3 linked regions of the Ovis aries genome follow. The protein of the gene in region 3 purifies or fractionates together with the protein of the main gene of each other region. This does not show direct contact. Links are inferred from orthologs where the notes say so. Each region holds a gene or a part of one and is shown on either strand. Other genes may lie near its edges.

Evidence for each region.
Region 1: the proteins of AP3S1 (region 3) and AP3B1 fractionate together in Homo sapiens (co-fractionation; 5 studies listed by BioGRID and IntAct, counting the BioPlex papers as one, with this or other methods). This does not show direct contact. The link is inferred for Ovis aries from reciprocal best matches to the Homo sapiens genes AP3S1 and AP3B1.
Region 2: the proteins of AP3S1 (region 3) and AP3M1 purify together in Homo sapiens (co-immunoprecipitation; 4 studies listed by BioGRID and IntAct, counting the BioPlex papers as one, with this or other methods). This does not show direct contact. The link is inferred for Ovis aries from reciprocal best matches to the Homo sapiens genes AP3S1 and AP3M1.

What each region holds. Positions count from the first base shown.
Region 1 is NC_056060.1:9,383,714-9,387,848, reverse strand, and holds the start of AP3B1 (AP-3 complex subunit beta-1), read left to right. Parts: upstream 1-1,260; 5' UTR 1,261-1,407; coding exon 1,408-1,535; intron 1,536-4,135. UniProt on the Homo sapiens protein: Subunit of non-clathrin- and clathrin-associated adaptor protein complex 3 (AP-3) that plays a role in protein sorting in the late-Golgi/trans-Golgi network (TGN) and/or endosomes.
Region 2 is NC_056078.1:29,212,085-29,215,736, forward strand, and holds part of AP3M1 (AP-3 complex subunit mu-1), read right to left. Parts: intron 2,400-3,652; coding exon 2,314-2,399; intron 1,635-2,313; coding exon 1,501-1,634; intron 664-1,500; coding exon 456-663; intron 1-455. UniProt on the Homo sapiens protein: Part of the AP-3 complex, an adaptor-related complex which is not clathrin-associated. The complex is associated with the Golgi region as well as more peripheral structures.
Region 3 is NC_056060.1:4,758,302-4,761,953, reverse strand, and holds part of AP3S1 (AP-3 complex subunit sigma-1), read right to left. Parts: intron 1,204-3,652; coding exon 1,096-1,203; intron 1-1,095. UniProt on the Homo sapiens protein: Part of the AP-3 complex, an adaptor-related complex which is not clathrin-associated. The complex is associated with the Golgi region as well as more peripheral structures.

The sequences.
Region 1 (4,135 bases), about 4.6 Mb from region 3:
TGTGTGTGTGTGTGTGAGCCGCTCAGTTTGACTCTTTGCGACCCCATAGATGGCAGCCCACCAGGCTCCCCCGTCCCTGGGATTCTCTAGGCAAGAACACTGAAGTGGGTTGCCATTTCCTTCTCCAATGCATGAAAGTGAAAAGTGAAAGTGAAGTTGCTCAGTCGTGTCCGACTCTTCGCGACCCCATGAACTGCAGCCTACCAGGCTCCTCCGTCCATGGGATTTTCCAGGCAAAAGTATTGGAGTGGGGTGCCATTGCCTCCTCCCGAGAATACTGGAGTGCATAGGTATTCCCTTCTCCAGGTGAACTTCCGGTCCCAGGGATGGAACCCAGGTCTCGCGTGTTGCAGGGGGATTCTTTACCTTCTGAACCACGAGGGAAGCCCTGTGTTTCACTAGTCCCCTTACAGTTTCTAACTTCCAGGCTCTAGGTTTCGGAGCTTGCCTAAACCGGAAGCAGTGGAAATAGTGCGCAGCATGCTCTGAAATCCACCCGAAATATCAGGTGTGAGGGGGGCAAGTTACTCCTGAAAAAGTTTCTCACGTGCTACTCTGGAGCCAGGCAACTTTCTGCCTGACTCCCCTTAAAACTTTAGTAAGTGCTACCACAAGAAGAACAAAAAGAGGTGCCCAGATAATGGGCTACTTCTGGTGTTCGGGACAGCTCTATTTTTTTGTTTTTAAACGCCAGTAGGAAGCACGCCGTTAGCTCCTTGGAACCAATGGCCCCAGGATTTTCCTTTGAAACTACAATGATCCCATCTTGGCGGTGGCAGATCCCAGAAAGACAGGGTTTTAGAAACTTCCTTAAAACTCAGAGCTCTGCATAAAGATTGCCTGGGGCAGAAGTAACAGCAAGACTCAGCAGGCTGGAGGGAAAGCATTAGAAACCAGCCTAAACAGGAAAAGCAGTCCTAATTAAGTTTAGCAAAGTTGATCTGGTGTGTTAAATGGTGTTTCAGGAGAAATCTGAAAACTTCTGGTTTACAACAAGAATCCAAAAAAAGAGGTGTCCGGCCCGGGGAATCTCCTAAGGGACCAAAATGGATACGTGGGTATCTGTCTCCAAAAAAAACCCCCACCTCTAAAAAGAGCTTAGTCTTTAGCCCGCTGAGGGCCTGCCTAGCGCAGAGGCTGGGTTCGAGCCGCTCGGCTACCTCAAAAGCCCGGAGGCGGGAACTCCAGTCCGGCCCGGGAGTGGCCGGGGGGTGGGCTCTGGCCGCACGCACACTGGGCATGCGCAGGGGGTGGCCCGCCGGGTCGGCTTGGGAGCCGTGACGAGTCCGGAAGCGCCTGCGCGCGCCCCTCTGCACGAGAACTAGTTTTGTTTCCAGTCGCTGGGACCGGAGCCCGTCAGAGAGAACCCCGGGCAGGACCAGCTCGACACCCGGCGACCCCGCGGCGATGTCCAGCAACAGCTTCGCTTACAATGAGCAGTCGGGAGGAGGGGAGGCGACGGAGCTGGGTCAGGAGGCGACCTCAACCATTTCCCCCTCCGGCGCCTTCGGCCTTTTTAGCAGCGATATGAAGAAGTGAGGAGAAAGGTTTGGGGTGTGGGGACGGGACTGAGGGGCTGGGGCTCCCGGGACAGGGGCAGGGTCGCCCTGAGACCGTCCGGGAGCGGAGCGGGCGTTTCCTGCCGCGCTATCGCTTGGGAGTGGTGGGAGTTGTTGGGAGTGTGGGTTGAGTGTGTGGAGGGGTTCTCTAGGAGTTTTCAGACTTTAGTGAAAAAGAACCATTGGGACCGCTTAGGTGCCATCCCCAAAGACCCCGACTGGTCTGGGGCCCAGGAGTCTGAATTTTGAGCAAACACTTCAAGCTAGTTTAAAGTTTGCTTGATGCCACCTGGAGAAATTCTCTCTCTAGGGTGGAAGGATTCAAGTTTGGGGAGCTGAGAGGGAAAGTTAGATTGTGTCTTATGGGAACCTGTTCTGTGACTCTTGAGTGTAGAAGCAAGGAGGTGTTTTAGGCGCTTTATGAATGAACAAGCTGGTTTATTCAGGCACCAGTGTTCCCGGAAAATGTCTTTTGCATTACAGACCAAAAAAGAAAAAACAAAACCCCCCACCAAAAGTATAAGACAACCCCCAAACCAAAAAACAAAGCTAGGAAACAGTAAGAAGCGTATGAGGAGAATATTTAGAGTGTGGGCAAGTGGCACAATTTTGCAAATAATGTGGATTTTAAAAATGAACCCTAAATAATGTATACGTGTGTGTGTTTTTAAAGTTATTACGAGTATTTTAAGTACCACCGAAAAAGGGAAAGAAAACACCCCGCTCATTGTTTTTTGTGTGTGTGGTGAGGGAGAGAGAGTGATTTTAAACTTACAGAATTCTGGTAACTTTGCATTTTTTGGTAATAATTTTTACATTTTTTCTTATTTTTGATCTCTCAGTACTTAGTGAACATAATAGGCTAACACTAGATTTATGCTGAACTTAAGGTAAAGTAGCTATGCTGGTGGCCTTGCGGTGTCAGAAAGATAAATTAAAATTCATTTTATTTAATTAAATAATTTATTTGATTAAAATTTAATGTAATTAAAAAATTATTTTAAAAGGCATTCTGGAAATTGCTAGTAGTTGAAGTTGAGGTTACATTTTGACTGTATTAAGCTAACTGAAACCTGTGTGGAGTGTGTGGAATAGAGTTTTTTGTTTATTTCCTTATTCTCAGGTTAGCAAAGTTTATAAGTAATGTAACTTCAGTAATTTTTCATTTTTCCTTCTATGCATTTAGATGATGGATTATTCCAACAAGAAGCTTGTTGCAGTTCTGTTGTTCTATTAGCAGAAATTTCAACTGTTAAATTAATGTTTAAGTCTGTAGAGTCTGTTTTACATGTGATATGCTTACAGTTGATCTACTTTTATGGATTGTGAACTTCTAAGGTGTTTTCCTCTTAGAGCCTTTCATTTCCTATTTTGTCAGATTTGGGTCTAATATTGAAAAAAATGTGTGGTTTTGACTGTGACCAGTGTTACTGAGGTGACTGAGCATGTTGGAGTTGAAATGAAAATAGCTGACTTTGAGTACTTCTGCACACTACTTTACATTGATTATCTCATTTGGTCCTCCTGACCATTTGGTCTGGCTGAGTGAGTATGACTTACGGAAAATTATTCTGTAACTTTGAGGTGCCACAGAGGATATAGAGCAACCCAAAAATACTTTGATTCCACTTTGCAGATGAGAAAATTGGAGCACAAATGGTTAATTTGCCTAAGATAACAGAACTAGAACACTGAGCTGCCTGAGTTTGAGCTCACAGTCTCATCTCAGAGCCCATTCTCTTGAGTATTTGGATATGCTGCTTGACAACGTTTATTGTACCTTGGTCTTCCCTTGTATTGCAGTTAGTAAAGAATCTGCCTGCAATGTAGGAGACCTGGGTTTGATTCCTGGGTGGGGAAGATCCCCTGGAGAAGGAAATAATTATATCTTATTAGAGAATGCAATCAAATCATTAAAACTTTACTAGTCGTAGAGAGTGTATGACCTTGAGGCTTTCAGGAATTAGAAACATTTTGGCCATTGAATTGCAAACTAGTGCAGTTGTACAGAAACAGGGACCTGTGTTCTGGAAGTGGTCACTTAACCTCTCTTGAGCTTACATTCTCTCATTTATAAAAATGTGATATTTCTTGCCTTTTTAAAAAACCCAAATGACAAAATTTATGTAAAAAACTTCAAGCTTACCCTAATCCTGTACTCTGATTTTTTTAATCAAAGTATAATTGACATCAACATGTTAATTTCAGATATACACCATAATGTTCAGTAGATTTTTTTATGTATTGAGAAATTATCACCACAGCAAGTCTGGTTAACATCTGTCACCATACTTACAGTTTGGTTCCCCCCTCCCCTCGAATGAGGACTTTGAAGATTCGCTTTTAGTGATTTTCAAATATGTAATACAATATTATTAACTGTAGTTACCATGGTGTACATTATATCCTCCTGACTTATTTGCTTTATAGCTGGAACTTTGTGCCTTGGACTTTCTTCACCCATTTCTCCCACAACCTCTGGTCTCATTTTTGATGATTTACTTTGAATGATTTTGAGTTTGCAAAAAAGTTGCAAGAATAATAGAGAACTACTCTTGATGTAGGCTCAGTTTTTA
Region 2 (3,652 bases), on a different chromosome or scaffold from region 3:
AAGGCAACTTTCCTAGTCAGCATCCTCTGTAGAAGAGTATGAAATAATGCTTTTAAATTAAAAAGGAAGAGAAAGATCTTAATTTCTTAACAATTAATACACTGTAATATCTATTAACCATTAATAGATTATTATATGCACATAATGCTTTTCTCTTTTTAAAAAGTTTTTATATCTTCCTCATTGAAGAGTTAGTGAACCTCTGGATTATCAATGTATAAGAAAAGGCAGATTCTGAAGGAAGAAGGAATGAATCTCACTTTTCTGCTCATCAACTTAGCAGCAGATGCAAGATTCTCTCCTGTGGCAGAGCACAGCACAATCTGCATTCTAGGCTGTTAGAGCTTTAATTTCAACCAAGATATTAGACCCTTCCCTCTGTCCTCCCATGTCCCCAAATCACAAAATAAGGATTGCAGAAACACTTGCTCACTCTTGATTTTAGGTGACTGTACCTTGGTAACTGGATCAAAAGTATAGCTGCCTTGTGTTGGTGTCAGGTTCATATTCAACACAACTTTCGGCATGTGAACGGTCACCGTGATTGCTTCAATAGTTTTCCCCATATTCTGCTTTGGTCCAATTGTAATATCAAATCTACCACAAGAACTGTTCTCCTTAAAACTGATGCTGTGTTTCACATATACTGGTATTGCCACTAGACTAAAAAGAGAAAGACAGACACAACCACAAAAAACATACAATTAATAGTGTGAGCTCTGGAGGTGGCACAAAAACCCTAGTATAGAATATCCAATACCCGCAGAACCGCAGGTTCAGTATCTGAGCCAGGGCAGTTGAGTACAGCGGTGTTGTGGAACCACTGTGCCAGAAATTATACAATTTCTGAGCAGTAAGTATACAAATCAAGATAAAATTATAGCATCAATAATTGGCACAAACAGTCCTGGTTTCAAGAAATGAATTAAGATCCCAGAGAAAGATAATTTCGAATTACACAAACTAAATATATCAGTTTCTCTGTGATAAGAGCCAAGAAAAAATTCCTCTGCTTTTAAGTTCTGTTTTGATGTTGTCCAAATACTTTCTGATGTTTTCAAGGGACAAACCAGCTACAACCCAGGATGCTAAATCATTCATTTAAACCTCAGTGCAGAGAAGAGTGACTTCAAGCCAGTTAGTTGAGGGATGTCCTGGAGAACTACAGGTAAGTCTGTCTCCTTCTATCAGCCATAATGTCCACAGATCATAGTAAAATTATGGCATGGGTTCATGGTTTCGTCCAGGTTATGCATGGTCCCAAGTGCTTGCTCTAAGGTATATATTTACTATTACTCTATACTCTTAAGATTCAAAGTATACTAATTATATTTTCCGCATATATTTTCACCAGTTTGTTCTGGGTCTCCTGGTGAGCAATGGCTAAAGGGAGCAATGGTGAATTCAAGTAACCAACTGTTAGAATGAAACAGGGAAAAAGTGAGTTCTACACAGCACACTGATAGATGACAGGAGATTATGGTTGATACAACAACATACTTCTGTGAGCTGACACGGTATGATATGAGTCGGAAGTTTCCATCTGGAGGAATAAACGACAGAACTCTTTCAGATTCCCAACGCTTGAACCGAATGCAGGGGTGGAAGCTGACATCATCTAGAAGCCTTGGATTCTGCCATGGAAAAGAGAAGACAAGCATATTCATAAAGTAAAACGAATATGGCAACTCTAGTCAGATATATTATGAGATCTGAGAAATATGCTTCCTTAAGATAAAGCAGTCATGTAAGTTTATTCAGGCTTATCGTTTCACAATGCTTTCAAGTGTACAAATATTTTATATACATTATTATTTGAATTTCAATAATTCAATTCCAGTAATTCCCATGAGGTAGAAAATGTGAGTGGTTTCATTTCCACTTCATAGATGAAAAAACTGAGGTTCAAAGAAAGCTCAAGGCCAGGACAAGTTAGAGGCACAGACAGCATCAGGGCTCAGTTCTCTTAGCAGTTCTCAGTAGTGTAGTATGCCGAATCTAAAATGATGAAAAGATCAATGCCTTTTCATACCAACAGAGCATATAACAACTCAGTAAAAGCAGCACTACATATCCGCAGCAGCCAGCCAGCCATTTAAGCTACTTCTAACATACTCAGAGGCAAAGCCTCTCCACAGCCTATCCATAAAGGCAGTGCTCATCATGTAAGCTACTGTCTTTGGAAGCTGTGCTAGGAATACTTCTTACATAATCCAATGTGATCTGAAAGAAGCATGTATCAGTATTTATCATTTCATTTAGTACTTCATATATATTAGGCACGAAGGAGTTACAAAACAGAGCAAAACTTACCATGAAAGAGAGGGAAAGGTCAGGCATTCCAGAGAGCTTAATGCAAGCATCGATGACCCCCTGAATTTCTGCAAAGACTGTAGATCCTAAAGGAATAATAAAGGTATCACTGGAATATGCATGCATTCTAGTAAAGTAGCTCTACCCTACTAGAGCTATCACTATATCTGAAGTAATGGAGATATCTCCCAGGTGTCAGACATACTGAAGCTTTGTACATCTATTAAAAGGTTAGTGGACAGAGGATCCATTACACCAGTTTAGACAACTTCTTTACTGAGTGCCAAGGCTGTTCCTGTCTCCGGTTGGAACAGGATGATTCTAAGGAAAATCAAACCCATCCTTATCTTTATAGAGTCAGCCTTGTAAGACTGCTGGATGTGAAGTTAAAATACTTTTTTTCCACTGACTTTTAAAATTAAAAAAAAAAAAAACTATTCAATTTTTAAAGGTTACTTTCCATTTATAGTTATTACAAAACATTGGCTATATTCCCTGTGTTTTACAGTGTACTTGTGAGCCTGTCTTACCCCCAGCTGTTTGTACCTCCCATTCTCCCACCCCTTTACTGCCCCACTCCACACTGGTAAACACTAATCTGTCCTCTGTATCTGTGAGTCTGCTTTTTTTTTGTTAAATTCATTTGTTTGTTGTATTTTTTAGATTCCACATATAAGTGATATATAGTATTTATCTTTCTTTATCTGGCTTATTTCATTTAGCATAATGTTCTTCAAGTTCATCCATGTTGTGCAAATGGCAAAATTTCATTCATTTTTATGCTGAGTAATTTTCCATTGTGTACATATATACATCTTCTTTATCCATTTATCTGTTGATGAATACTTAAGCTGCTTCCACATCTTGGCAACTGTAAATAATGTTTGTTTGAACATTTTTTTTTTTGAAGTTCAAATATTTTAAATAAAATTAGCCAAGTTTCTAATGAAATGTTAAAAAGTAGGAACCATAATTCTTTAACAGTACAGCAACTATTCCATACAATGGAATTTTTATAATAAAAATGCAACTCACTGTAGAGATAATTGTCTGTAATTCACAGTAAGTCATTTTCACATACCAACTAGTGGTGTGACCTTTAACAGGTTATTTAACTCTTCTAAGTCTCAGTTTCCCCATACATAACATGTGAGAGTTGGACTAGATATCTTTAGTAAAATATTACGATTCTAATACAGTACTGTTCTTCAGTCTGGGGTCTTTACTAGAAGGACTGCACACAAAGTGGTTGTAAAAAGTATGGTGCACAGTAGACATACACTACATATCAGGCTGGATAAATGGCAAGATAAATGAATACACGATAATTAGCTTAAAG
Region 3 (3,652 bases):
ATGAGCACAGCATTTTGTTATGCTGATCCTTTAAAGAGCCAACAAGATAAAAATTCTTCACAACTCACCTGTTATAAATCAATACTAGCATATTTTTAATATCTCTCTGCTTTTATAGTAATATTTACTTTAGATTATCCAAACACCTGTACTAATAATTATAAATAAAATTAGTTTCCTACTCTGAGTTATGACTATACATATCAAAGGTAAGGGTATCCTCAAACATGTATAGTGTTAAATGAGGTATCAAGACTATTCATCTTTCTAAATTTCTTCTACAGCAATAAGAAACCACTAAAATAATGCCCACATGAGTGGTTCAGCTTCAGCACCCGTTATATTCAGCTTTGTTATTGATATTCAGCCTTGTTATTGAGGGAAGAAGCATGCAATTATAAAGTAGAGTTTTACACAAGGCTAAAGTGCTGGTTGGTCCTCATTCACTCAGCCTAACAGCACAAAGTCAGCTGTTTATCACCAAATCTTGCTCTTCTAGAATCCAACAAAAGCCATGAAGACATGGGCCACTGTATGAAGTATATATGATTTAGCTAACGTGTCCGTGACCTTTGACAAGGATCCAGAAATAAAAGATTAGAGTGCTGAATGTCTTTTTTTTCAATGTGCATTCAGGCCTACTAAGCACCTATTATTGATATTACTTCCTTATGAGAGTTCCATTTTCTCTCCCTTCCTTTTTCAGAAATAGTTTTATAAAACATTAAATTCATGTATCTTTGAAAACCAGTTCTAAGATTTCTTGGATAATTAATGACTAAGAATGTAACAAATACTGATTCCACTATTCAAGTAAATAACTTCTTTTTTAAGCAATAAGAATTGGGAATTTTATTTATTACTCAAAGCAATTATGACTGTGGCTAAAAGAATACACAAAACTATTTGGTGGATAGTGGTCACAGAACATTTAACATACTAAAATGTGTATATTCCATTTATTTTCAAAACCGAATAAGCCTACCAACTGTACTAAAGGGTGATACTGAAGGACAGACGGTGAAAGCCGCAAACCATGCATAATTTATGATCATGCTTCCTCCCTTCATTAACTAGAGCACTTGCCATTCTTACCTCAGACTTCTCCAGTTTATTTTGTGCATCAATTTGTGTAACAATCTCATTCATGTTGGTCTCCAATACCATTCCCCCCATCACCATTTCTGCAAGAATATTGTGAACCTAAAGGAAAATATAATACACATCCATAAGGAAAACTATGTTTCGTGATTCCAGTAATTTTTCTTTCAAATACTGCTGTGTCTTGTTTTATGAGCTGTAAAATAAAAATAATTTGGAGTGAGAGTTCATAATACACTTATGTCACTGCTGTGAAGCCTTAGGTAATTATACAAACCTCTTTAAATCTTAGTTTAATGAGCTGTAGAACAGGGATGATAATAATAATATCTCCTTCCTAGAGGGCTGAGAAGATTAAGTGAGGTCAACCACCTTGGAAGCACCCCCAAAATAAATAATCTATAAACATTAGCTACCATGATTATAGTATCCAAATTAAAGCTAAAAAAAATGACCTATTAGGGCCTTTTATACCAGACTCTTCATCAATAATTATTAAGCTGTTTTATGCTCAAGGTACTTAATAAGGCTATGTGGCTTTACTACTAGCTCTGGATTTAAAATGAAGTAATTTTTTTTTCATATTGTGCTCATTTGCTCAGTCATGTCTGACTCTTTGCAATCTCATGGACTGTAGCCCACCAGGCTCCTCTGTCCACGGAATTTTCCAGGCAAGAATACTGGAGTGGAGTGCCATTTCTTTCTCCAGGGGATCTTCCAGATCCAGGTATCAAACTGCTGTCTCTCCTATCCCCTGCACTGGCAGGCAGACTCTTTGGCGTTAGTGAGAAAGAACCTGCCTGCCAGTGCAGGAGATACAAGTGGCGCAGGTTTGATCCCCATATTGGGAAGATTCCTCTGGAGAAGGGCATGGCAACCCACTCCAGTATCCTTGCCTGGAGAATCCCATGGACAGAGGAGCCTGGCGTGCTACAGTCCAAAGGGGTGCACAGAGTCGGACAAGACTGAAATGACTTAGCATCCTTGTTAGTAGAGTGCTGAGTATTTCCGCCTGTCATATGGGAGACTGGGATTTGATTCCCGACGGGAGGCAACAAGGCCTTTTTGAGTTCCTGGTGGCTCAGATGGTAAAGAGTCTGCTTGCTATGCAAAAGACCCCGGTTTTGCTTCCCTGATGGCTCAGAGGTTAAAGTGTCTGCCTCCAATGCGGGAGACCCAGGTCCGATCCCTGGGTCGGGAAGATCCCCTGGAGAAGGAAATGGCAATCCACTCCAGTATTCTTGTCTGGAGAATCCCATGGACGGAGAAGCCTAGTAGGTTACAGTCCACGGGGTCGCAAAGAGTCGGACATGACTGAGCGACTTCACCTTCACCTTCACCTTCACTCCCTGGGTCAGGAAGATCCCCTGGAGAAGGAAATGGCAACCCACTCCAGTACTCCTGCCTGGAAAATCCCACGGATGGAGGAGCCTGGTAGGTCCACGGGGTCACAAAGGGTCTGACATGACTGGGCGACTTCACTTACTTTTCTTTCTAGCATAGCATAGCGCCACCTGGGAAGTGACGCTTTTGTTATATTATAGGAAGTGGTGCTTTCTTTATATTATAGGTACTTTAATAATACTTTTGGGCTCAGTTGATAAAGAATCCACCTGCAATGCAGGAGACCCTAGTTTGATTCCTGGGTCGGGAAAATCTGCTGGAGAAGGGATAAGCTACCCACTCCAGTATTCTTGGGCTTCCCTTGTAGTTTAACTGGTAAAGAATTCTCCTGCAATGCAGGAGACCTGGGTTTGATCTCTGGGTTGGGAAGATCCCTTGGAGAAGCAACAGGCTACCCACTTCAGTATTCTGCCTAGGAGAATATACAGTCCATGGGGTCACAAAGAGTTGGAAAGAGTGAGCGACTTTTACCTTTAATAATACTTTTACCCCAAAGCTCTCTCTACATATCTAATTACTCAGATTTTTCATTATCAAAAACATTACAATGACAAAAATATCATTTTCCATTGGGGAGAAAAACTATAACCCAGGTGTTTTATCAAAAGGAATTTACTGAATCAAAAATCACCAATTCAGAGCTGAAGTGGGTGTCAAAGAGCAGTATACTGTGCTACAATATGCAATTTTAAAATGACGTGGCAGCATGGAGACTGGAGACTGTGGAATTAGATGGGTGTGAATGCTGACTCTGCAGCTTATTAGCTGCACTCCCTTCAGCAGTTACCTGACCTCTCTGATTGTTATCTGCGAAACAGAGGCAGAACAGTACAGGTGCCTCACAGAGTCATCGTAAGGATTAAACAAATTCATGAAAGGTACTGTAGCACAGTACCTTACAGGTTTTTTTTTTTTTAAACAAAAGCTTTTAAAAAGTTAAATATAGAATTAAGCTATTCAATTTTCATTCTTTTAGGATTTCATGCAAATATATTCATGATTTTTAAAATATCTTATCATTATTTACTAATGTTTCATTTTGGAAACTTGGACACTTCATACTCCAATTCTGAAAAATTCTAGAAATTATTCTTCCTTAACAAACAAAATAAAAGCAGAAACTACAGAAGCTTTAAAAAATAGTACT